Linked DNA regions of Anolis sagrei. The protein of the gene in region 1 purifies or fractionates together with the protein of each later gene. This does not show direct contact. Links are inferred from orthologs where the notes say so. Each region holds a gene or a part of one and is shown on either strand. Other genes may lie near its edges. The genes, in order: FGF11 and UBE2O.

Region 1 (12,302 bases):
AGCATCCTGTTACCCTCCCCCCCCCATCATTCTTGCAATTGACCGCAAGAAGGATGCCCCCTGCTGTTGACCCCAAGGCATTGCAAATAATGTTAGAGATGCCACACTTGGACAAACCAAAGCCACCTTTGGGAACAACCCACAAAAATATAGATATCCATGCAGAATCCCATTACCCCCATCATTCTTGCTATCCACCTCAAGAAGGATGCCCCCTGCTGTTGACCCCAATGTATTGCTGATAATGTTAGAGATGCCACACTTGGATGAACCAAAGCCACATTTGGGAACAACCCACAAAAATATAGATATCCATGCAGAATCCCATTACCCCCCATCATTCTTGCTATCGAGCTCAAGAACAATGCCACCTCCTGTTGACCCCGATGTATTGCAGATAATGTTAGAGAAGCTACACTCCAACATCAAAATTGGCAAGAACCAAGGAAAATAGAGGGTCAATGCAGTGTCCCATTTCCCCCAAAAGTAGGGTTCACCATTGTTATTGACATCAGGCATGATGCCCCCTACTGTTGACCCCAAGGCATTTCAGATGCCTGTTAGAGATGCCACACTCGGACGGACCAAAGTTACACTTAGGGAAGAACCCAACAAAATAGAGATGCCACACTTGGACAAACCAAAGCCACATTTGGGAATAACCCACAAAAATATAGATATCCATGCAGCATCCCATTACCCCCCATCATTCTTGCTATCGAGCTCAAGAAGGATGCCCCCTGCTGTTGACCCCAATGTATTGCAGATAATGTTAGAGATGCCACACTTGGACAAGCCAAAGCCACCTTTGGGAACAACCCACAAAAATATAGATATCTATGCAGCATCCCATTACTCCCCATCATTCTTGCTATCGACCGCAAGAAGGATGCCCCCTGCTGTTGACCCCAATGTATTGCAGACAATGTTAGAGATGCCACACTTGGACAAGCCAAAGCCACCTTTGGGAACAACCCACAAAAATATAGATATCCATGCAGAATCCCATTACCCCTCCATCATTCTTGCTATCGACCTCAAGAATTATGCCCCCTGCTGTTGACCCCAATGTATTGCAAATAATGTTAGAGATGCCACACTTGGACAAGCCAAAGCCACATTTGGGAACAACTCACAAAAATATAGATATCCATGCAGAATCCCATTACCCCCCATCATTCTTGCTATTGACCTCAAGAACGATGCCCCCTGCTGTTGACCCCGATGTATTGCAGATAATGTTAGAGAAGCCACACTCCAACATCAAAATTGGCAAGAACCAAGGAAAATAGAGTGTCCATGCAGTGTCCCATTCCCCCCAAAAGTAGGGTTCACCATTGTTATCGACGTCAGGCATGATGCCCCCTGCTGTTGACCCCAAGGCAATTCAGATGCTTGTTAGAGATGCCACACTTGGACAAACCAAAGCTACACTTAGGGAAGAACCCAACAAAATAGAGGTCCATGCAGCATCCTGTTACCCTCCCCCCCCCCATCATTCTTGCAATTGACCGCAAGAAGGATGCCCCCTGCTGTTGACCCCAAGGCATTGCAAATAATGTTAGAGATGCCACACTTGGACAAACCAAAGCCACCTTTGGGAACAACCCACAAAAATATAGATATCCATGCAGAATCCCATTACCCCCCATCATTCTTGCTATCCACCTCAAGAAGGATGCCCCCTGCTGTTGACCCCAATGTATTGCTGATAATGTTAGAGATGCCACACTTGGATGAACCAAAGCCACATTTGGGAACAACCCACAAAAATATAGATATCCATGCAGAATCCCATTACCCCCCATCATTCTTGCTATCCACCTCAAGAAGGATGCCCCCTGCTGTTGACCCCAATGTATTGCTGATAATGTTAGAGATGCCACACTTGGATGAACCAAAGCCACATTTGGGAACAACCCACAAAAATATAGATATCCATGCAGAATCCCATTATCCCCATCATTCTTGCTATTGACCGCAAGAACGATGCCCCCTGCTGTTGACCCCAATGTATTGCAGATAATGTTAGAGATGCCACACTTGGACGAACCAAAGCCACGTTTGGGAACAACCCACAAAAATCTAGATATCCATGCAGCATCCCATTACCCCCCATCATTCTTGCTATCGACCTCAAGAATTATGCCCCCTCCTGTTGACCCCAATGTATTGCAGATAATGTTAGAGATGCCACACTTGGACGAACCAAAGCCACATTTGGGAACAATCCTCAAAAATATAGAGATCCATGCAGAATCCCATTATCCCCATCATTCTTGCTATCGACCGCAAGAAGGATGCCCCCTGCTGTTGACCCCAATGTATTGCAGATAATGTTAGAGAAGCTACACTCCAACATCAAAATTGGCAAGAACCAAGGAAAATAGAGGGTCAATGCAGTGTCCCATTCCCCCCAAAAGTAGGGTTCACCATTGTTATTGACATCAGGCATGATGCCCCCTTCTGTTGACCCCAAGGCAATTCAGATGCTTGTTAGAGATGCCACACTTGGACAAACCAAAGCTACACTTAGGGAAGAACTCAACAAAATAGAGGTCCATGCAGCATCCCATTACTCCCCATCATTCTTGCTATCGACCTCAAGAACAATGCCCCCTGCTGTTGACCCCGATATATTGCAGATAATGTTAGAGATGCCACACTTGGACAAACCAAAGCCATATTTGGGAACAACCCACAAAAATGTAGATATCCATGCAGGATCCCATTACCCCCCATCATTCTTGCTATCGACCTCAAGAACGATGCCCCCTCTGTTGACCCAATGTATTACAGATAATGTTAGAGATGCCACACTTGGACGAACCAAAGGTATATTTGGGAACAACCCACAAAAATATAGATATCCATGCAGAATCCCATTATCCCCATCATTCTTGCTATCGAGCTCAAGAACGATGCCACCTACTGTTGACCCCGATGTATTGCAGATAATGTTAGAGATGCCACACTCCAACATCAAAATTGGCAAGAACCAAGGAAAATAGAGGGTCAATGCAGTGTCCCATTCCCCCCAAAAGTAGGGTTCACCATTGTTATTGACGTCAGGCATGATGCCCCCTGCTGTTGACCCCAAGGCATTTCAGATGCTTGTTAGAGATGCCACACTCGGACAGACCAAAGTTACACTTAGGGAAGAACCCAACAAAATAGAGATGCCACACTTGGACAAACCAAAGCCACATTTGGGAATAACCCACAAAAATATAGATATCCATGCAGCATCCCATTACCCCCCATCATTCTTGCTATCGACCTCAAGAACTATGCCCCCTGCTGTTGACCCCAAGGCATTGCTGATAATGTTGGAGATACCACACTTGGACGAACCAAAGCCACATTTGGGAACAATCCATGCAGAATCCCATTACCCACCATCATTCTTGCTATTGACCTCAAGAAGGATGCCCCCTGCTGTTGACCCCAAGGCATTGCTGATAATGTTAGAGATGCCACACTTGGACGAACCAAAGCCACGTTTGGGAACAACCCACAAAAATATAGATATTCATGCAGAATCCCATTACCCCCCATCATTCTTGCTATCGACCTCAAGAACGATGCCCCCTGCTGTTGACCCCAATGTATTGCAGATAATGTTAGAGATGCCACACTTGGACGAACCAAAGCCACATTTGGGAACAACCCACAAAAATATAGATATCCATGCGGAATCCCATTACCCCCCATCATTCTTGCTATCGACCTCAAGAATGATGCCCCCTGCTGTTGACCCAGATGTATTGCAGATAATGTTAGAGATGCCACACTCCAACATCAAAATTGGCAAGAACCAAGGAAAATAGAGGGTCAATGCAGTGTCCCATTCCCCCCAAAAGTAGGGTTCAACATTGTTATTGACGTCAGGCATGATGCCCCCTGCTGTTGACCCCAAGGCATTTCAGATGCTTGTTAGAGATGCCACACTCGGACAGACCAAAGTTACACTTAGGGAAGAACCCAACAAAATAGAGATGCCACACTTGGACAAACCAAAGCCACCTTTGGGAACAACCCACAAAAATATAGATATCCATGCAGAATCCCATTACCCCCCATCATTCTTGCTATCCACCTCAAGAAGGATGCCCCCTGCTGTTGACCCCGATGTATTGCAGATAATGTTAGAGATGCCACACTTGGACAAACCAAAGCTACATTTGGGAATAACCCACAAAAATATAGATATCCATGCAGAATCCCACTACCCCCCCCTCATTCTTGCTATCGATCTCGAGAATGATGCCCCCTGCTGTTGACCCCAATGTATTGCAGATAATGTTAGAGATGTCACACTTGGACGAACCAAAGCCACATTTGGGAATAACCCACAAAAATCTAGATATCCATGCAGCATCCCATTACTCCCCATCATTCTTGCTATCGACCGCAAGAATGATGCCCCCTGCTGCTGACCCCAATGTATTGCAGATAATGTTAGCAAAGCCACACTGAAGGAAAGCAGAGGGTGGGAAGTCCCCCTGTCCCCCACAATGAGGCCTTGGAGGGGGTCAGGGCCCCTCTTTTTTGGGGTGCAAGACTGAGGAAGACTTACCCGGCGTCTTCTCCAGCCGGCCCTTTCGCCCCCCGCACAGCCTGACTTTGGAGATGAGGAAGAGCAGCTGTTTCTGGCATAGGGACTTGGTGCCCCGCGGGCAGACCTTCCTTTGGGTGGAGACGGGCCGGCTGGCTACGGGGTCCCGGATCTCCCGCTTCTGCCGGATCAGGGAGCTGGCTAGCGCGGCCATAGCTGCCCCATCCGGGGGCAAAGGGCAGCGGGCCCAGGAGGGCGAGGGGGATCCGAACCCAGGCCCCTTCTCCTCCTCCTCTTCCTCCTCTTCCTCCTCCTTGGCTTCTCTTCCTTCCTGGATGAAGGGTCAACTTGTCTCCAAAAGTCGGTTTCCTCCTGCCGGTTCCGGAGATAAGGACAAAACCCAAGGTCTGACCGAGAAAGAGAAGAGACATAAAAAAGAGAGAAAAATATATATACTGATACAGAATAACCTATATCGATATATAGCAGTGCTTCATCAATATCAACGTATAGAGACGAGATGCCATCTCTCACATCCGGCGATGGCAAAAGTCCTAAGAAAGACCGGGTGGCGAAAAAAGAGAAAAGAGGGTGGGTTCTCTCCGGCTTGATCCCATTCGTGCTCCTTGATTCGTTCTTTCTCTTTTTCTATCTCCCCTTCTTTCGTTCTTTCTTTCCTCTCTCTCTCGCTTCTGTTCTTTCTTTCTTCTCTCTCTGTGTTCTTTCTTTCTTTCCTCCCTTCTTTCTTCCTCTCTGGGAAAAGGTGGGGGAGGCGCAGAGGAGGAGACCCCAATGTCCTTCAGAGCTTGGGAGGTTAATTAGGAAGGGAGGATGGGGAAAGGGATGCCAGCGGAGAGAGAGAACCAAAGGAAGAGAGAGAAAAGGGTAGGTGGGTGGCTGGCTAGGAGAGGGACCTGGCCAGCGATGCTAACCCAAGCGTGCAAGGGCGTGTTTGGAGTGTGTGCGAGAGTGTGCGGTTGTGCAAGGGAGAGTGTGTTTGGGTGTGTGAGTGTGTGGCGGGGATGGAGGAGCGAGGGAATGGAGCAGACGAAAAGGGAGGGGTGGGAAGGGATGGAGAAATGGAGAGAGAGAGAGGGATTTTGTCACACTCGCACAGGACAAAGCCAGCCAATATGGGGAAGGCATCAGTCTCAATTTGGGGACCAAGAGGAAGGCACCCGGAAAGAGAAACCACCCTCTTTTATCCCTTTTTTCCATCCCTTCTTTCCTAGGACTTTTGGGCATTGCAAGGTGGGATCTTGTCCTAGCAATCCTATATATTGATATAATATATATATATGGTCCTGTGTGACTTTTGGCATTGCAAGGTGGGATCTTGTCCTAGCAATCCTATATATTGATATATATTATATATATAGTCCTGTGTGACTTTTGGTATTGCAAGGTGGGATCTTGTCCTAGCAATCCCATATATTGATATATTATATATATATGGTCCTGTGTGACTTTTGGCATTGCAAGGTGGGATCTTGTCCTAGCAATCCTATATATTGATATATATTATATATATAGTCCTGCGTGACTTTTGCCATTGCAAGGTGGGATCTTGTCCTAGCAATCCTATATATTGATATATAATATATATATAGTCCTGTGTGACTTTTGCCATTGCAAGGTGGGATCTTGTCCTAGCAATCCTATATATTGATATATATTATATATATAGTCCTGTGTGACTTTTGGCATTGCAAGGTGGGATCTTGTCCTAGCAATCCTATATATTGATATATTATATATATATGGTCCTGTGTGACTTTTGCCATTGCAAGGTGGGATCTTGTCCTAGCAATCCTATATATTGATATATATTATATATATGGTCCTGTGTGACTTTTGCCATTGCAAGGTGGGATCTTGTCTTAGCAATCCTATATATTGATATATTATATATATACAGTCCTGTGTGACTTTTGCCATTGCAAGGTGGGATCTTGTCCTAGCAATCCTATATATTGATATATTATATATATATATGGTCCTGTGTGACTTTTGGCATTGCAAGGTGGGATCTTGTCCTAGCAATCCTATATATTGATATATTATATATATATAGTCCTGTGTGACTTTTGGGCATTGCAAGGTGGGATCTTGTCCTAGCAATCCTATATATTGATATATTATATATATATAGTCCTGTGTGACTTTTGGGCATTGCAAGGTGGGATCTTGTCCTAGCAATCCTATATATTGATATATTATATATATATGGTCCTGTGTGACTTTTGCCATTGCAAGGTGGGATCTTGTCCTAGCAATCCTATATATTGATATATTATATATATATAGTCCTGTGTGACTTTTGGGCATTGCAAGGTGGGATCTTGTCCTAGCAATCCTATATATTGATATATTATATATATATAGTCCTGTGTGACTTTTGGGCATTGCAAGGTGGGATCTTGTCCTAGCAATCCTATATATTGATACATTATATATATATGGTCCTGTGTGACTTTTGCCATTGCAAGGTGGGATCTTGTCCTAGCAATGCTATATATTGATATATATTATATATATAGTCCTGTGTGACTTTTGCCATTGCAAGGTGGGATCTTGTCCTAGCAGTCATATATATATGTGTGTGTGTATGTATGTGTGTGTATGTGTGTATATATATATATATATATATATATATATTCCGCTTCTCTTTCCTTCTCAGTTAGTCCTTCACATAGGTTTCTTTTTGGGGGGGGGGGGAGTTGATGGCTTACAAAGTGGGGTACCCCTTTAGAAGGAGACCCTCCCCATGGAGAGAATGAAAGAATATATATATATATATATATATATATATATATATATATGAAGACCCATGGGAAGGAGACCCTCCCCATGGAGAGAAAGAATATATATATATATATATATATATATATATACACACACCATATATATATACCATATATATATATATATACATACACATACACATACACACACACACCATATATATAGCATATATATAGCATATATATATACATACACACACACACACCATATCTATCTATCTATCTATCTATCTATCTATCTATCTATCTATCTTGCAATGATTAAGGGATACAGATACCTGAACCTGTCCTTCCAAGTGTCCCAGCCTGATGCAACCAGAGATAGAGCTGCAAATAATTACATTTTTCCCCCAATTGGAGGGGATGATAGGACCCCAATAACTGGGAAGGGAACGAGGGAAGGAGGGAAGTGATAAGAAGGAAAAGGGCATTTCTGTCAAGGAGCCTTGGAAATCTAATGAGTCATGATAAAGGGAGCGGGGGTGGGGAATAAAAAGGGGGGGGGGCTTTCCCAAAGTCAATGGGGATTCCGGAAAGGAAGGTCTATGGATTGAAATGTAAACATTAAGAGGAAGGAATGGGAGTGGGAGGAGCATGATAGGGATCCCCTGCTAATAGTCCCCCATGCAATTATTGGGGTATCCCTTGGATTGCCCCCTCCCCAATGAATTGGGAGTTTGCAGACAGCGCCCCCTAGAGGATGCACTTTCTCCCCATGATACGAATGGCGCCCCCTAGAGGGAGACTTTGGGAGCATCTTTACTTTAGAATGAATGCCGTTTGACATGCGTCAATGCAATGGGATCCTGGGAGTTGTAGTTCTGCAAGGCCTTTCGCCTTCCCTGCCAGAAAACACCGGCGCCTCTTCAAAACTACAAGTCCTGGGATGCCATATTTCGAGCCATAGCCATTCAAGTGGGTTGTTGTAGGTTTTTTCGGGCTGTATGGCCATGGTCTAGAGGCATTCTCTCCTGACGTTTCGCCTGCACTTTGGAAAGCATCCTCAGAGGTAGTGAGGCCTGTTGGAGCTAGGCAAAGGGGTTGTTGAAAGCCTTCGACAATACATCAAATGCTAATTAAAGTGGTCAGTTGAAACATTCCCACCTAGCTCCAGCAGACAAGAGTCCTTTGCCCCACCCGGGTCATTCCACAGATATATAAACCCATTTTCCTACTTCCAACAGACCTCACTACCTCTGAGGTGAGGATGCTTGCCAAAGTGCAGGTGAAACGTCAGGAGAGAATGCTTCTAGACCATGGCCATACAGCCCGAAAAAACCTACAACAACCCAGTGATTCCGGCCATGAAAGCCTTCGACAACACATAGGCATTCAAGTTTGACACTACTTTCACTGCCACAGCCCAATGCTCTCAAATCCCGGGAGCTGTAGTTTGACAAGGTCTCTATCCTTCTTGAACTCTTGCGGCTCAATGCTATCGAATATTGGGAGTTGTAGTTTGGGAGCCTCCCACCAAAACTCTTGGTCACTCTTGGAAAACTAAAACTCCCAAATTGTATTGTCGAAGGCTTTCATGGCCAGAATCACTGGGTTGTTGTAGGTTTTTCCGGGCTATATGGTCATGTTCTGGAGGCATTTTCTCCTGATGTTTTGCCTGCATCTATGGCAAGCATCCTCAGAGGTAGTGAGGTCTGTTGGAAGTAGGAAAATGAGTTTATATATCTGTGGAATGACCAGGGTGGGGCAAAGGACTCTTGTCTGCTGGAGCTAGATGTGAATGTTTCAACTGACCACCTTGATTAGCATACTACCTCTGAGGAGGCTTGCCCCACCCTGGTCATTCCACAGATATATAAACCCATTTTCCTACTTCTAAGAGACCTCACCACCTCTGAGGATGCTTGCCATAGATGCAGGCGAAACGTCAGGAGAAAATGCCTCTAGAACATGGCCATATAGCCCGGAAAAAACTACAACAACCCAACTCCCAAATTCCCATAGCATGAGTCTTGAGAGTTAAAGTGGTGTGAACTTGCATTCGTTTGTCAGTGTAGATGCACCCTTGGATTTAAACAATAAGAGATTCCACCAAAATACAGAACTCGATGATGATAATTTCTAGTTCTCAACAAAAGATTGCCCCAGGCACTGCCAGGCCATCAAATCCTAATTAAGGTGGTCAGTTGAAACATTCACACCTAGCTCCAGCAGACAAGAGTCCTTTGTCCCACCCTGGTCATTCCACAGATATTTAAACCCATTAAAAATACAGAACTAGATGATGATAATTTTTTTAATTACCTATCTCTCCTTGCAATTCAAGCCTTTGGTTCTTCCTTCCAACTCTAGGATTTGGATTCTCTAGAGCAGTGTTTCTCAACCTGGGGGTCGGGACCCCTGAGGGGGTCATGAGGGGGTGTCAAAGGGGTAGCAAAAGACCATCAGAAAACACAGTATTTTATGTTGGTCATGTGGATTCTGTGTGGGAAGTTTGACCCAATTCTATTGTTGATCGAGTTCAGAATGCTCTTTGATTGTAGGTGAACTATAAATCCCAGCAACTACAACTCCCAAATGTAAAGGTCTATTTTCCCCAGAATCTACCAGTGTTCACATTTGGTCATACTGAGTATTCGTGCCTAGTTTGGTCCAGATCCATCACTGCATGAATCCACAGCGCCCCTCTGGATATACTACAACTCCCAATCTCAAGGTCAATGCCCACCAAACCCTTCCAGTGTCTTCTGTTGGTCATGGGAGCTCTTTGTGCCAAGTTCGGTTTAAATCCATCGCTGGTGGAGTTCAGAATGTTTTTTGATTATAGGTGAACTACAAATCCCAGCAACTACAACTCCCAAATTACAAAATCAATCCTCCCCCCCCCCCCCCCAACCCCATTAGCATTCACATTTGGGCATATTGAGTATTTGTGCTCAATTTAGTCCAGTGAATGAAAATATATCCTGCATATCGGATATTTACATTACGATTTATAACCGTACTAAAATGACAGGTATCAAGTTGCAACGAAAACAATATTATGGTTGGGGGTCACCACAACATATGGAACGGCATTAAGGGGTCACGGCATTAGCAAGGTTGAGAACCACTGAACTAGATGATGATGATAATTTTTTTGATTACCTATCTCTCCTTGCAATTCAAGCCTTTGGTTCTTCCTTCCAACTCTAAGATTTGGATTCTCTAGAGGTTTTTAATCAGAGGCTGGGAGGCCGTCTGTTGGGAAGGTTTGGATGGTGTCCTCCTGCCTGGCAGGAGAGGGTTGGACTAGATGGCCTTTGGGGATCCCTTCCAACTTCTAGGATTTGGAGGGTTTTTTTTTAAAGCAGAGGCCTGTCAAGAAGGGATTTGCTGGTTGGACTAGATGACCTTTGGGGATCCCTTCCAAACTCCTAGGATGGAGAAAGAGAAAGAAGTCCCTGAGCATGTACAGAGCGCCCTTCCTTCCCCATTAAACTCCTGGATCAGGCGAAAGAGCAATTCCTCGACCGACGGAGGCGTCTTCCAGGAGAGTTGTGTCCCAATTAAGTGTTGACACTACACACAAACCCAGCCACTCTCCCCCTGAAGTCGCCTCCTCCCGCCTCTCTTTGCAAGGCTGGCCTGCGGATCGATGCGAAAGCAGGACAGTTGTTGGAGAGGTCGATAAAAGCGCCACAGATCTATTATGGGATGCCACCGGCTGCAACAGGAGGTCTGCATCTAGTCTACACCCTGGATTTAATGCAGTTTGGCCTCATTTTAACCGTCAAAGGGACCATGCTATGGCATCATGGGAGTTGCGGAATGCATTGTGGTTTTGCAAGGCCTTTCGCCTTCTCTGCCAGAGTGCAAACTACAGTGAAAACGAGATCAAACTGCATTAAATCTACAGTGTAGATGCATCTAGTGTAGGAGGGAAAGAAGGGACAACACTCCATATACCTTCCTTTCGGTAAATATTGTATGTGTGTAGTCAGATAGAATATGGCATATATAAAAGGGACTAGATGACCCCCAAAGGTCATCTAGTCCAACCATCAAATCCCTTCTTGACAGGCCTCTGCTTAAAAAAAACCCTCCAAATCCTAGAAGTTGGAAGGGATCCCCAAAGGCCATCTAGTCTAACCCTCTTCTGCCAGGCAGGAAGACACCATCCAAACCTTCCCAACAGACGGCCTCCCAGCCTCTGATTAAAAACCTCTAGAGAATCCTGTGTAGTCAGATAGAATATAGTAAATATATGGCATATAGGTAAAGGTAAAGGTTTTCCCCTAACATTAAGTCCAGTAAGTATCCAATTCTGGGGGTTGGTGCTCATTTCTATTGCTAAGCCAAAGAGCCGGCATTGTCCATAGACACCTCCTAGGTCATGTGGCCAACATGACTGCATGGAGCGCCATTACCTTCCCACCAGAGCGGTACCTATTCATCTACTCACATTTGCATGTTTTCGAACTGCTAGGTCAGCAGAAGCTGGGCCTAACAGCAGGAGCTCACCCTGCTCTACGGATTTGAACCTGTAACATTTCGGTCAGCAAGTGCAGCAGCTCGGCAGATTAACCCACTGCGCCACCGGGGGCGCTGTGGGTTATGGCATATATAAAAGGTAAAGGTTGTCCCCTGACATTAAGTCCAGTCATGTCTGACTCTGAGGTGTGGTGCTCATCTCCATTTCTAAGCCGAAGAGCCAGCGTTGTCCTTAGACACCTCCAAGGTCATGTGGCCAGCATGACCGCATGGAGTGCTGTTACCTTCCCGCCGGAGCGGTACCTATTGATCTACTCACATTTGCATGTTTTCGAACTGCTAGGTTGGCAGAAGCTAGGGCTGACAGCGGAAGCTCATGCCGCTCCCTAGAATCGAACCTGCGACCTTTTGGTCAGCAAGCTCAGCAGCTCAGTGCTTTAACCACTGCACCACCGCTATATATATATATATATATATATATATATAGAACAGACATTGGCAAACTTGAC
Region 2 (12,219 bases), on another chromosome or scaffold:
GGTAAGATGTTGAGTTTCCCTTGCATTTTAATGCGCATCAAATTTTGCATAAAATTTCAAGCACACTCAATTAATAAAGCACTAGTGAGAATTGTTTCTTATTAAATGATAACTCCCAGGAGCCCAAGTCAACTTGTTCAATGGTCAGGAATTCTGGGAACTGACATCCAAAACACCTGGCGGGCAACATGCACAAAAGGGGAAATACTCAGGGTGACATTTATGGCCACCACTCTCACCTTTGCAAGAGCAAGCATATGGAGTGTGGTGGAAGCTCCTGCCTTGGATGGCCATCTATCAGGGGTACTCTGTGCTTTTCCTGCATGGCAGGGGGTTGGACTAAATGGCCCATGTGGTCTCTTCCAACTCTATGTCTCTATGGGGTTATTCAAGCTAATATTTGGCCATCTTGTTGAATTCTTAAAAGAGTACAGATCTGAATCCATGCCTATGAAATAGATGGTTTATACTTTTATTTACTCCTGTCTAAAGAAAGTTAAGAGCTATCACACTGTAGTAATTTGAGTGTTGAACTAGGACTCTGCAGACCAAGGTTAAAATCTCCATTAGGACACAGAAATCTACTGAGTGACCTTGGGTAAGTCATAGCCTCTCAAATCAAATCAAATCATTTATTTCGGTCATTGACCAGCACAGGAAATAGTCACATTTTCATACAAACTTGGTATGTTTGGTACATTAAAAATATAAATATAACTACTGAAGCACAATATGGGTGAGGGAGCTGAAGGGAAGGGGAAACAGGGTAAAAAGATACAATGCCCAGACAGAGTACAAAATTTGCATACCCTCTCAACTTCAGAGGAAGACAAAGACAAATGTCAGGTGAACAAATCTTGACAAGAAAATGCAATGATATGGAAATCCTAAGGTGAGCCAAACTTGGAAATAGTTTGAAGGCACACAACAACCAAAAAGACTTGAAAGCACACTATAATTAGGTTTACTGTTTTCCCCAAGTGACATCTTACAATTTTAGCCTCACTATGAAACCAAAAAGCCTGAGTAAAAATAAGACCCTTGGGAATAATTTAGAATTTATACAGACCAAGCTTTGTCACAGAAAGCCTATATCCAAAATTTTAAATATTCTCAGAATCTATGTGAAAAATTATGAATATCTATCTTTTTAGGGGGTTCCAGGGCTTTTTTTAATATTGTCATTGCTGATTTCTTTGCTATGAACTTAATGGATTTAATCACAGCCAGAAAAGAAGTGTCTGGTCATAGTGAATGCATCGCATTATTCTCAAAGAAATACACATGATTTCAAGGCCAAGGACTGCTAATAAGAATATGAGTAGTACATACTTTCACTTATCACAGCATATCCATGCCACTCCTTCTCAAGATACACACAATGCATCGGTCCTCTCATATTACATCTGGGCCCACCCCTCACTCTCTTTTGTTCTACATATTTGGAGTAAGTCATTCTTCTCCATAACATTTGAAAACCTAACATAGAGTTCACAGAATATTAGTATCACTCTCAATATTTCAAATGAGATGCAAGTTAGCTATTTGACATGTACACTGTTATTTTTTAAGCAATTCATGTCAACTTGTGTCTCATGATATAAATACGCCCTTCAGTTTTTAATTATGCATAATTATATAACATCAATTATGCATACTGGAGCAAAGACAATGTTTTCCCTCCTACCCAAACAGTAACCTTTTTTTTTTTTTTGCTCCAACCAACAGTATTTAACCATTAATACCTTCATTTTAGAAGGCTTGCTACATTTGCTTCTCCTACACTACCAACCACTTACTACTATAGTGGCAACTAACAACAAACTCCCCCTATGCCATAATATAGTTCACTTCCAAGAATATTAATATTCTCAATTAATACATTGAGGCATCACAAGTATTTATAGTTATCCAAACATTTGCTAAAAATAATGGTCTCCAGTGATGTTTTTTCCCTCTTAAATAAGTTCCATCCCCATCCATATCTGAAACCATGCAGTAAAAAAATATGAACTTCTGCAGAACAGCAATACCAATCAGCAGATGTCACTGCAGAAGAGTCTGAGAGACCACGTCCAAACTCCTGACTACCTGAACAACCCGCAAAACACAGATTGCAGGGAAGGCCTGGAGCATTCAGGATGCTGAATAGAAGCATGTTGCCTAACAACATATTTTTTAAAATGGTGAAAGAAGTCTTCTAGAATATTATGGTGGGAGAAGGGGGAGCACAGAATGTAACCTATTTGGGGGACAGGGAGAGAGAGAGAGAGAGAAAAAAAATATGATTTTCTTTCCAAAATAGAAAACTGTACAACCTGTACAATGCAATGTGGACAATGTAAGGCAGCTTTTTCAGAGCACACTGGCCTGAGATAATACAGTATTTATAATATCAATCAATAGTAGCATTCTTGAAGGAATGTATGTATGCATATATGCATGTGTGAGCTATACACGTGAGTGTATATACAGTATATATATGTACACATGTGTGCTTATCTATGTATGCATACGTATGTTTGAGTGCATGTATGTAAATATATAAATGTGCATACAAAGAGTGGGCCAAAACTCACAAAGGCATCTAATGTTTCAATAATTCTTTGAAATTTTTGTTTGAAAAGATTTTATATATAATGTAATTCAATTTCATTTCCTATATATTCTATATATGCTTTTGTGAACATTGTAAATTAAAAACAAAGCACAAAGGAATTATTAAATATTGAAACCCCTTTGTGACTTTTGGCACACTCAGTATATGTGTGGGTGTGTATATATCTGTATGTAAGAGAGAAAGTATATATCTTTAGCAATATTTATTTGTGTGAGAGTATGTATATATATGTGTGTGGGTGTGTGTATAGGGTACGTATGAGGGGATGGATGTGTATCTATATATGTGCAAATGTATATATGTTTTTGTGTATATATGTGTATGTGTGTGAGAGAGAACCTATGTGTGTATATGTATATCTATATCAATGTGTGTGAGATTGTGTGCATAATAATAGTAATACATTTTATTCATTATCTGCCTTCCCTGATGGCTCAAGGAGGGGTACAACTAATTAAAAAACAAACAAACAAACATAAAAATACATGGCCTTGGACCATTATTTCTGGATTATGTGATTTTACCATTTATATTAATATGTTTTAATTCTATGTTTTAATGTTTAAATGTTGTTAGGTTTGTATGATCTAATTGATAGTTATATTATTCTCGCTTTATGTTAGGTTTCATATGTATGCGAGGCATTATGTTTTGTCAGAAATATGTTGGAAACCGGGTTGCTATAAGTTTTCCGGGCTGTATGGCCATGTTCCAGAAGCATTCTCTCCTGACATTTCACCCATATCTATGGCAGGCATCCTCAGAGGTTGAGAGGTCACAACCTCTGAGGATGCGTGCCATAGATGTGGGTGAAATGTCAGAAGAGAATGTTTCTGGAACATGGCCATATAGCCCGAAAAACTCACAGCAACCCAGTGATTCCGGCCACGCAAGCTTTCAACAACACATGTTGGAAACAGCTTTGAGCACACACACCCCCGAGTGAGAAAAGCGGAATACAAGTGAAGTAAATAAAAATACAATAAATTACTAAATTGCATTGCCAAGCACAGACATTTGAAAACTTATACCAAACACTGCTACAAAATTGACATATATTTATTTTGCATATTTGTATCCTGCCCTTCTCACCCCGGAGGGAGGCTCAGGGCGGCTTGACAACTTTTTTTTTTTTGCATTATTTCTATCCCGCTCATATCAGCCTGGAGGCGACTCAGAGCGGCGTACACAATCGGCACAATTCGATGCCATAAAAATACATACATTGATAAACAAAAGAACCATTATAGTGCAATTAGACATAAGCCAGTGCATAATAACAATATTAAAAGCTATAAACTATATCCTCTCATTCAAGTCCTTATCAGTTCCATCGTCTTGGGCCGTTCCAGAGTCATTTTCCAATTCAAGTTTGTCAACAGGTATTCATTCAATGCCAACAACAGTAATAAACAATAAAAGCAATTAGAACATAAAATTACTCAAACATTGTTTAAATCACACAGGTTTGAAATTGTAGTCCAGGTCAGTCCATTGTCATTCACATAAATTGTGTCTCATTCTCAATTGCTGCCTCTACTACTGTTCGAATGCTGGGTAGAGAGTTCCACAGGCGAGGGGCCACCACTGAGGAGACCCCATCGCTCACCCACCTCCGCCAGTCGTGGCAATAGAGTGCAAATCAAAACACATGATAGCAAGTTGACTGGGTAGGCCTGCCAGAAGGGATGGGTGTTGAGTTTGTTTAGCTGTTGGAGCTCTTCCGCAGGTCATTCCACAGTCGTAACTGTGTGTGTATATATCTGTATATATATATCTGTATGTGTGTGTGTGTGTGTGTGTATATATATATATATATATATATATATATATATATATCTGTATATATGTGTGAGGAATACACACACACAGAGGGAGAGCATGTCCCCGTCCTTTCTCCTCGCTCTCCCTCCTTGCCACCGCCCTCTTTCCTCGCCAACTTTCCTTTAAGACCCCCGACCCTCCCTCAGGTTCCTCAGGGCGGCCCTTCCTCTTCCTCCTCCCCTGCCGCAGCCCCCACCAGGCCCACGCCCACAGAGGGCCTGCTGCTGCTGCTGCTCCTGCCTCGGCATCTCCTTTCCCCCGCTCCTTGCCCACTCGGGAGGGGCCTACCTTGGTCTCCTTGACGTGCTGCTTGATGCCCTCGGGGTACCACTGGACGCGCACGTAGCCGCGGCGGAGGGGGCTCCCGCGGCCTTCTTCCCCTCCTCCTCCTCCTCCGGGGCCCCCGGACTCCGAGCCCGCCGAGCTGCCCCCTCCTCCTCCTCCTCCTGCTGTTGCTGGGCCTCGTCCTCCTCCCCCTCCGCCCCCTCCTCCTCCTCCTCCCCCGCCGTCGTCTTCCTCAGAGTCGGAGTCCTCGCCGTGCATGACGCGGACCAGGCCGAAGCGCACCGAGCCCCTGTACTTGCCGGAGACCAAGTCATGGGTGAAGAGGAGGCGCTGCGAGCCGCCGCCGGGTGCTGCTGTTGCTATTGATGGCGGCGTTGGAGATGGCGGCGTCCCGGTGGTCGGTGGCGGCTCCGCCATGGCTGAGGGGGGAGGAAGGAAGGAAGGAGGCGGGCGGAGGGAGGGAGGGAGAGAAGCAGCAGCAGCGACGGCGGCCGCCTGGCTCACTCTCGCTCACTCGCTTGCTCGCTTTCCCGGCGCGCGCAGGCGCAGTCCGCGTTCGGTAGGGGGCGGGGCTCCAAGATGGCGACGCCTCGCGTCAAATAGCAAAGCGAGGAGGGGGCGGGGCCAAGAGCAGCCTGAGGAGGGAGGGAGGGAGAAGGGGAGAGGGACGGGCCTACATCTTCCTCTCTGAAGGGGATGGAGGTGGATGGAGGGAAGGCCTCGGCGCCTGAGAAGAGAGGGAAGGCAGCTTTCACAACCGAAGAGGGCTGTGGCACACAGCACAGAAAACAGGGAGAATCGCGAGCGTGTCTCTGTGAGGAGGAGGAGGGCTCCAGAAGGTGCTCACAGGCCTTTGATGCCTCAAGTAGAGCATCATAAGATGGCGCCCCTTCCCACCCTACGAGGCAAAGCAGAGGCGGAGCTGACAGGTGCTCCCCTTCCCTAGTCTTGGCGCATCCACAAGACAGAATCCATGCAGTTTGTCTGTAACTGCCATGGCAGAATGCTCTGGGATCCTGGGAGCTGGAGTTTTACAAGGCCTTTGGCGTTCTTTTAAAGCAGTGGGTCCCAACCTGTGGGTCCCCAAGTGTTTTGCTCCACAACTCCCAGAAATCCCAGCCAGTTTACCAACTGATAGGATTTCTGGGGGTTGAAGACCAAAACATCTGGAGACCCACAGGTTGAGAACCACTGCTCTAAAGAGTGGTGGTGCCTCGGCAAGCTCCAAATTCTAGGATTTCATGGCATTGAGCCGTGATGGTTCAAATGGTGGGGAACTGCCTTCATCTCCAGCAGGCATGGGCAAACTCCCCCTCCCCCCCCCCCCCTCAGGTGTTTTGGGACTTCAACTTCCACAATTCCTAACAGTCTCAGCCCCCCTTCCTTTTCCCTTTATTTTATTTATTTACGACATAAATAAAATATCTCTGAGTCTCCTCCTCACCCCGAAGGGGACTTAGAGCGGCTTACAAGATATGCATACAATATATTATATTATTAGCATAGTACAATATCAGTATTAAATATTACTATATTATACATGTAATATTAGTAATATTACATGTAATAGAAATATATAATTATATTATTATATTGCATTACATTATTATAAATATTATATGTATATACACAATATATTATATTATATGATTAGAATAGCACAGGAGAAAAGGTGGAACTGTGTTCTGCCCCCCTCCCCTTCACTGTAGCCCAGAGCGGCAGTTGGTGCTGTGGGGAGGGGTCCCCAGCTGATGACATATGCAGGAGACAAGATGGAACTGTCCCCCTCTCTCTTTACTCTGGCCCAGAGCAGCAGTTGGTGCTGGGGGAAGGGGTCCCCAATTGATGGCATTAAGCTTTTCTGCTTAAGCGGCTGAGAGAGAAAAGGAAAAGGCCTGAGGCTCTTAGGAATTGTAAGAGTTGAGGTCCAAAACACCTGGAGGGCCAAAGTTTGCCCATGCCTGCTACAGATGAAGGCAGTTCCAAACCACTGGAACCATCACTGCTCAATGCCATGAAATCCCAGGATTTGGAGCTTGCCGAGGCACCACCACTCTTTAGCAGAGAACGCCAAAGGCCTTCTACAGTGTAGTAGAGGGACCTTTGGGGGTGGGTCTCTACCTCCTTCCCTTTTTGTCCTCCTTTCCCCAGTGTCTGCCCCCAAAGGCCCCTACCTGGCTTTGTTCCCTGTTAGGGGCAGGAAGTAATTTGAAGTTGGCTGTCCATGAGTGTCTTGCTGAAGATGGAGGGAGTGGCTCTCAAAATGGGAAGGCGGACAAGGAGTGAAATGGAAAGCAAACGAACAAAGATAAAATGGGAAAAAGAGGATTTCAAATTAAGCCATCTGTTGTGCATTTGCCCCCTTTGTCTCATTCTGGGTCTGTATTGTAGCTTAGGCCCAGAGAAAGAATCATGGGGAAAGAGAGCCAGTGTGGGGCAGCGATTTGAGCATAGAGTGAAGACCGGGAGACCAGGGTTCAAATACCCACTTGGCTGTGGAAACCCACTGAGTGACCTGGGGTAAGTCACACTCTCTCAGAGGAAGACAAAGGTGCCCCCTCCTCCGAACAAGTCATGCCCCAAAAGTTTGTGATAGGTTCACTTTAGAGTTGGTATACTTCAGAAATGACTGAAGACACACAACAGCAAAGATGCAGGAGGAGAAGGAGGGAAAGTCTTGGTGGGGGGAGTAGAAAATTTGAGCCAAAGCATAAACACAATGATTAAATTGATGGCTGCAAGAGTGTGGATATGAGGAATTGAAGGCATGGGAGAGAAACATTGTCTGAAGAGCAAAATCGAATACACTCAATTTCAAAGGTTGCTTTGAAATTTGAAAGTAAGGAGGAGAGAGGTGTTTTCTTTACCTAATAAAAATAATCAGGGTATAATTTTGGTACTATTATTGTGATGTTGAAAACCCTTAAAGTCTGGTATGGGAATAATTTGAGTGCACTACTCTCAATTAACTCCTTTGGACATCCATCACTGCTAGCTTAGATGTAAAGCAAATTGAGGGAGTCTAATTGTGACATGGAAATTCAGAAGCTGGGAAGGCAATGGGAGTTTCTGGAGCTAATGTCTCATGCTCACAAGAGTCTAATGGTCATCCTAGTGCAAGAGGTCCTGATATAAAAGCCCAATTAAGTAGAAGCTGTGGGGAGTGAAGCTTTGTTTCTGTATAGAGAAAAAAATGAGATAGTATTAATGTTATAAATGTAGAGGCAGTATAGTGATTTTATTGAGAGTTTAGCATTAATTTCTTAATTGTACAAAAAATCTCGCCCCAGGTCTTATTCATTATCTTCAATGTGTTTAGCAATCAAGGCTGGCAGTGTAATTTTGTACAATATATTGTGCAAGTATTTTAACAGAATAATTTAAATATGAGGCTTTAACAGCCATTCTTAAGATTTATTCCCAGTGCAATTGTTGCATCCTTCCATGGACATGAATATAGTATAAATGGATAGCTGCAACTAAGGGAAACATAAAAATAATTTCTTAAGATCTGATTAATCTTACAGTTATAAAAGATAACCCACATACCCAAGTTATAGAAGGGTATCCACGTGCTCTACATTGAAATCTCTATGTTGTTCCTAGGAACAAGTGTGGAGATTCATATTACTAAGGTGCACAAAGCTCAAGAAGTTGCTACATTTAAGTCTTGTCTCTAAGAACCATGCCCTTCAAAGCAAAAGAGAAACAATGTCCCATCATCTTAATGATGTTTTGATGTGTATATGTGAAACTTAAGTCTTCAGGGCAAAATGAAACTACTTGAGTTCTCTATGCAGTATCATATTTTGCCTTTATATTTCTAATCCATTATGTATGGGATTTTTGTTTTGTTTTTAGAACAGTAATGCAAAGCATTAAACTGAGTGAGCAATGTTTAGTCCACCAGATGATAAACTTCAGTTCCCATCGGCCCTAACCAGTATAACATAATAGAAGTTGCAGCCCATCAATTGAAGGCCATATGTGTCCCATCCCAATTTACCCCCAATGTGATGTATATGTGTACATGACATTTGAACTCCTGTTTCTCCATCTCCTTTAGTGTGTACTTTTCTTCTCCAAATATTCTAAGTTTTTTTTATATTTTGCTTTTGCTTGAAAAATAGCCATTATGGTTCAGATTACTGGGTTTTCATTTCAGCTATCGTATAAATAGCAAGAAGCCCCAGTGGCCCAGGAGAGGTGTAATTCAGCTTCTGGGCACAACTGTATCCTTTATTGCTGCTTGTCCCACCCTCCCTCCCTCTCTCTTTCTGGAAACTCTGGCTCCATCTTGTGGATATTTTGTTTTCTAACTGGAATCACAGTAATAAGTAGAGATATCTCTTACCCATAGGTTCCTGTGAAGTAAAAGTGTGATATACTGAGTTGCCTATGTTACTAGAAATTTCTAAGGAGTAGTGTTGTCATGTACTCAGAATTACTGGGTGGTTAAGTTGTCTGGTATGTCTTGTATAATGCTGTGTGTTATTCAGATTGTAGAGTCAAAATTCCATGACCCTGGAGTTAACTTTCTAAAGCTGAATGAAAAATACATGTTAACAAACACTAAAGGGACTAAACCAATACTACATGGGGGTGGTGAGGATATTCTACCATACCTGGGCAATGATTCCTACCTGCTGATGGCAGGAAAGCAGCATGGTATTCCCCTTCTTTTTACAGAACATGCCAAATCACATAAGTTGGAGAGACAGAATGGTATAATATTACAAGTGGCAGAATAGGAGAGCCCTTTGATGATGTTGGACTGCATTCCCATCTATCCTCAACATTGCCTCAACTGATGAATTTAACAACCTTTGGAGGGCATTGACTTTCTTGTCCCTCAGTTAGAAGGTTTTGGTGGAAAAAAATGAGAAGGTTGGAGCAGGACTTGCATTGTGATCCCACCTTCTCAGGAATTATTTTTGTGGCCACTTGTAATATTATACCAGGAAATCTTAACCTGGGGGTCATGAAACCCTTTCCTCTGAGAAATATAATTTCTGAAGTCAGTTTCAACACCTCCTTTAAGGTAGAAGCCCTTGAGGCTGTCTGCCAAAGGGACAATAATAGAGAAAATTACGTTGAGGATGTGCAAGCAGGGTTGGGGGCGGGGGGGAGACGATGGCAAGCATGCCAACAGAGAGGGTGCTGCATGCTCCTGGCAAGCGTGTCACCACTGTCTTAGATAATGCTCCTAGATCTGCAAAAGATATTTACACCTCTGGATCAATTATTTAAATGCTGAGAAAAGCAGCACTCAGCTGTAACCCACCCACATCTTAGTGAATGTAAAATTTGTAAAGAGACCCTTCTGTTTCCCCCATCTGCTTTGAACAGATTTTTTGCCTCTTATAGTGTCAGTTTGGCAGCTTTTATTTTCCCAACAGGTGGCGCTCTTTGATAGTACTATGTAGTTTTGAATCTAAACAATGCTGCACTCGATTTGTTAATATGCTATGTTACCATTTTTGCATGCCTGTGATATAATATCCAAATACATATAGAATAAATCCAGTAAGACATAATCTATACAGCTTAGAGTACTGTGGTTTCTTAAAATCGATCATATATCTCGTAACATTAGGTAAGATATATATTGGCCAAAGATACCAGATTTTGTCTGATCTTGAAAGCTAAACAGGGTCAGCCGTGGTCCCACCCTGTATATACTATGCTTTGTCCTGTGTGTGATATCTGTTTCCTTATTGTATGTATATATTCTGTAATGTCTCACTAAAATTGTGACATGTGAATGTATCACTGTATGAAGGCAACTGAGGACTTCATTGAATGAGGCAGGCAATCTGGCATTGAAGCTGGACTGCCACCTTGATGTTGGTCCCTGTTGCATGATCCCATGCACATCCTGCTGCCAGTCCGCCTCCTTTCCATGGTTAACCCATCCCCCACTATTTATTGATGAGAAGTAGCTGGCAATCCCCACAAGTTCCCCTCACTTGCTTTGCGTGAATTGTTCTTTCTGCTTTTGTGCTGGCCTGCAAGTAGTGAAGTGGCATCAGGAGATGGAATTATCCTCTCTTTCTTGCTGTTCCCAAGATGTCTCTTTTGTATTTAATACTAGCCTAGGTACCTGCCGATGCTTGAGTTAGGTCTTTTGTAATGCTGTTTGTAAGAAATAGTCATTATTTGCTCATGGGGTTTTTTAATTAATGTTCTGATTAGAAAACACATAAGGATGTGGATGAACTATAACTCGGTATTGGATCAATTCCCCCTCCTCCCAAATCCCACCAGTATTCAAAGTTGGTCATTATGGGTATCAGTGCAAAGTTGGTCTAGATCCATCGTTGGTTTGGCTCACAATGCTCTCTGGATGTGCGTGAACTATAAATCCCAAAATACCGGGTCAACCCCTCCCCAAATCCCTTCAGTATTTTATATTGTTCGGGGGGGGGGGGGGGTGTTGGTGTTCCAAGTGTGTAAGTGTGGTCCAGATCCATTGTTAGTGGATGGCACAGGGCTCTTTGGAAGTGGGAGCCTTCTTGGAAATCGTCCGTAAACAAGCATACATATATACACACACACAAGCATACAAACATATTTTCATTTTTATTATATAGATAGATATAGATATATAGATATAGATTTTACTGTTATCTTTGCCAATTTTAATTAACCATTGTTGGAACTGTGAAATTGCACTTTAAAAAAAAATCTGTGCGAGGATCATGTGTTGCAGAACCCCAAACTATTATTCAGTCTGATAAATCCAATTTGAGGCAAACCGAGCTTGCATGCTGCCCCCTTTTCTTTAAACCTTGGCTTAAAGTTATTTCAAATGAAGCAAAATTAGTGATAACCACTGTTTGTCCTTCAAAATAATAAGACAAATCATCCTCAGGAAAAAAAACAAAAAACTTTCTGAATTCATTTGAGCCACGGGGGCTGGAGAGGACAACATGCACTCTCTGAAGCCTGCTCTTGTTATTATAAGCTATGGTTTATCATTACAGTGGATGAGCACAGCTCAGTGGGATCAGATGTTCCATGAAATTATAGCATACGCAACACAGTTGCATAAAAACAAATGTTCCTATTCTCTTGTTGTATGCCTTTGGAGGAAATATTATTCTAAAGTTGCTAATATGATTTATAAAGTTTTTAAAATCTTTTTTCTCTAGGTCTCTAGAAGTTAGTCTGGGAGCAGATAGATGTTATCTGTCATGTGCATGTAGACTCCTTTTTTGTAACCATTTTAGAAGGCTAACTGTAGAATAATTAAACAGCATTCAACCATGTGTGATTTGCCTTTTAAAAAGTGCTGCAGTGGAGAAACTAATTCTGATAGGATGGCAGTCATTGTAAAAAAAGATTCTCGTACACTTTTTTAAAAAATCCCAAAAAATTAACCCAGCACAGCAGTCTTTGATGGCCTTTTGTTTTCAGAGTCCTGCTCCCAGAGCTGCAGTTTGGAGATTTCTGTGCACCTTTCCCTTGACTTGAACTAAAATTTTCAT

The links.
Region 2: the proteins of FGF11 (region 1) and UBE2O purify together in Homo sapiens (affinity purification with mass spectrometry; 3 studies listed by BioGRID and IntAct, with this or other methods). This does not show direct contact. The link is inferred for Anolis sagrei from reciprocal best matches to the Homo sapiens genes FGF11 and UBE2O.

The regions. Positions count from the first base shown.
Region 1 is NC_090026.1:3,537,496-3,549,797, forward strand, and holds the start of FGF11 (fibroblast growth factor 11), read right to left. Parts: upstream 5,613-12,302; 5' UTR 4,773-5,612; coding exon 4,580-4,772; intron 1-4,579.
Region 2 is NC_090022.1:119,356,369-119,368,587, forward strand, and holds the start of UBE2O ((E3-independent) E2 ubiquitin-conjugating enzyme), read right to left. Parts: upstream 5,273-12,219; 5' UTR 5,147-5,272; coding exon 4,733-5,146; intron 1-4,732. UniProt on the Homo sapiens protein: E2/E3 hybrid ubiquitin-protein ligase that displays both E2 and E3 ligase activities and mediates monoubiquitination of target proteins. Negatively regulates TRAF6-mediated NF-kappa-B activation independently of its E2 activity.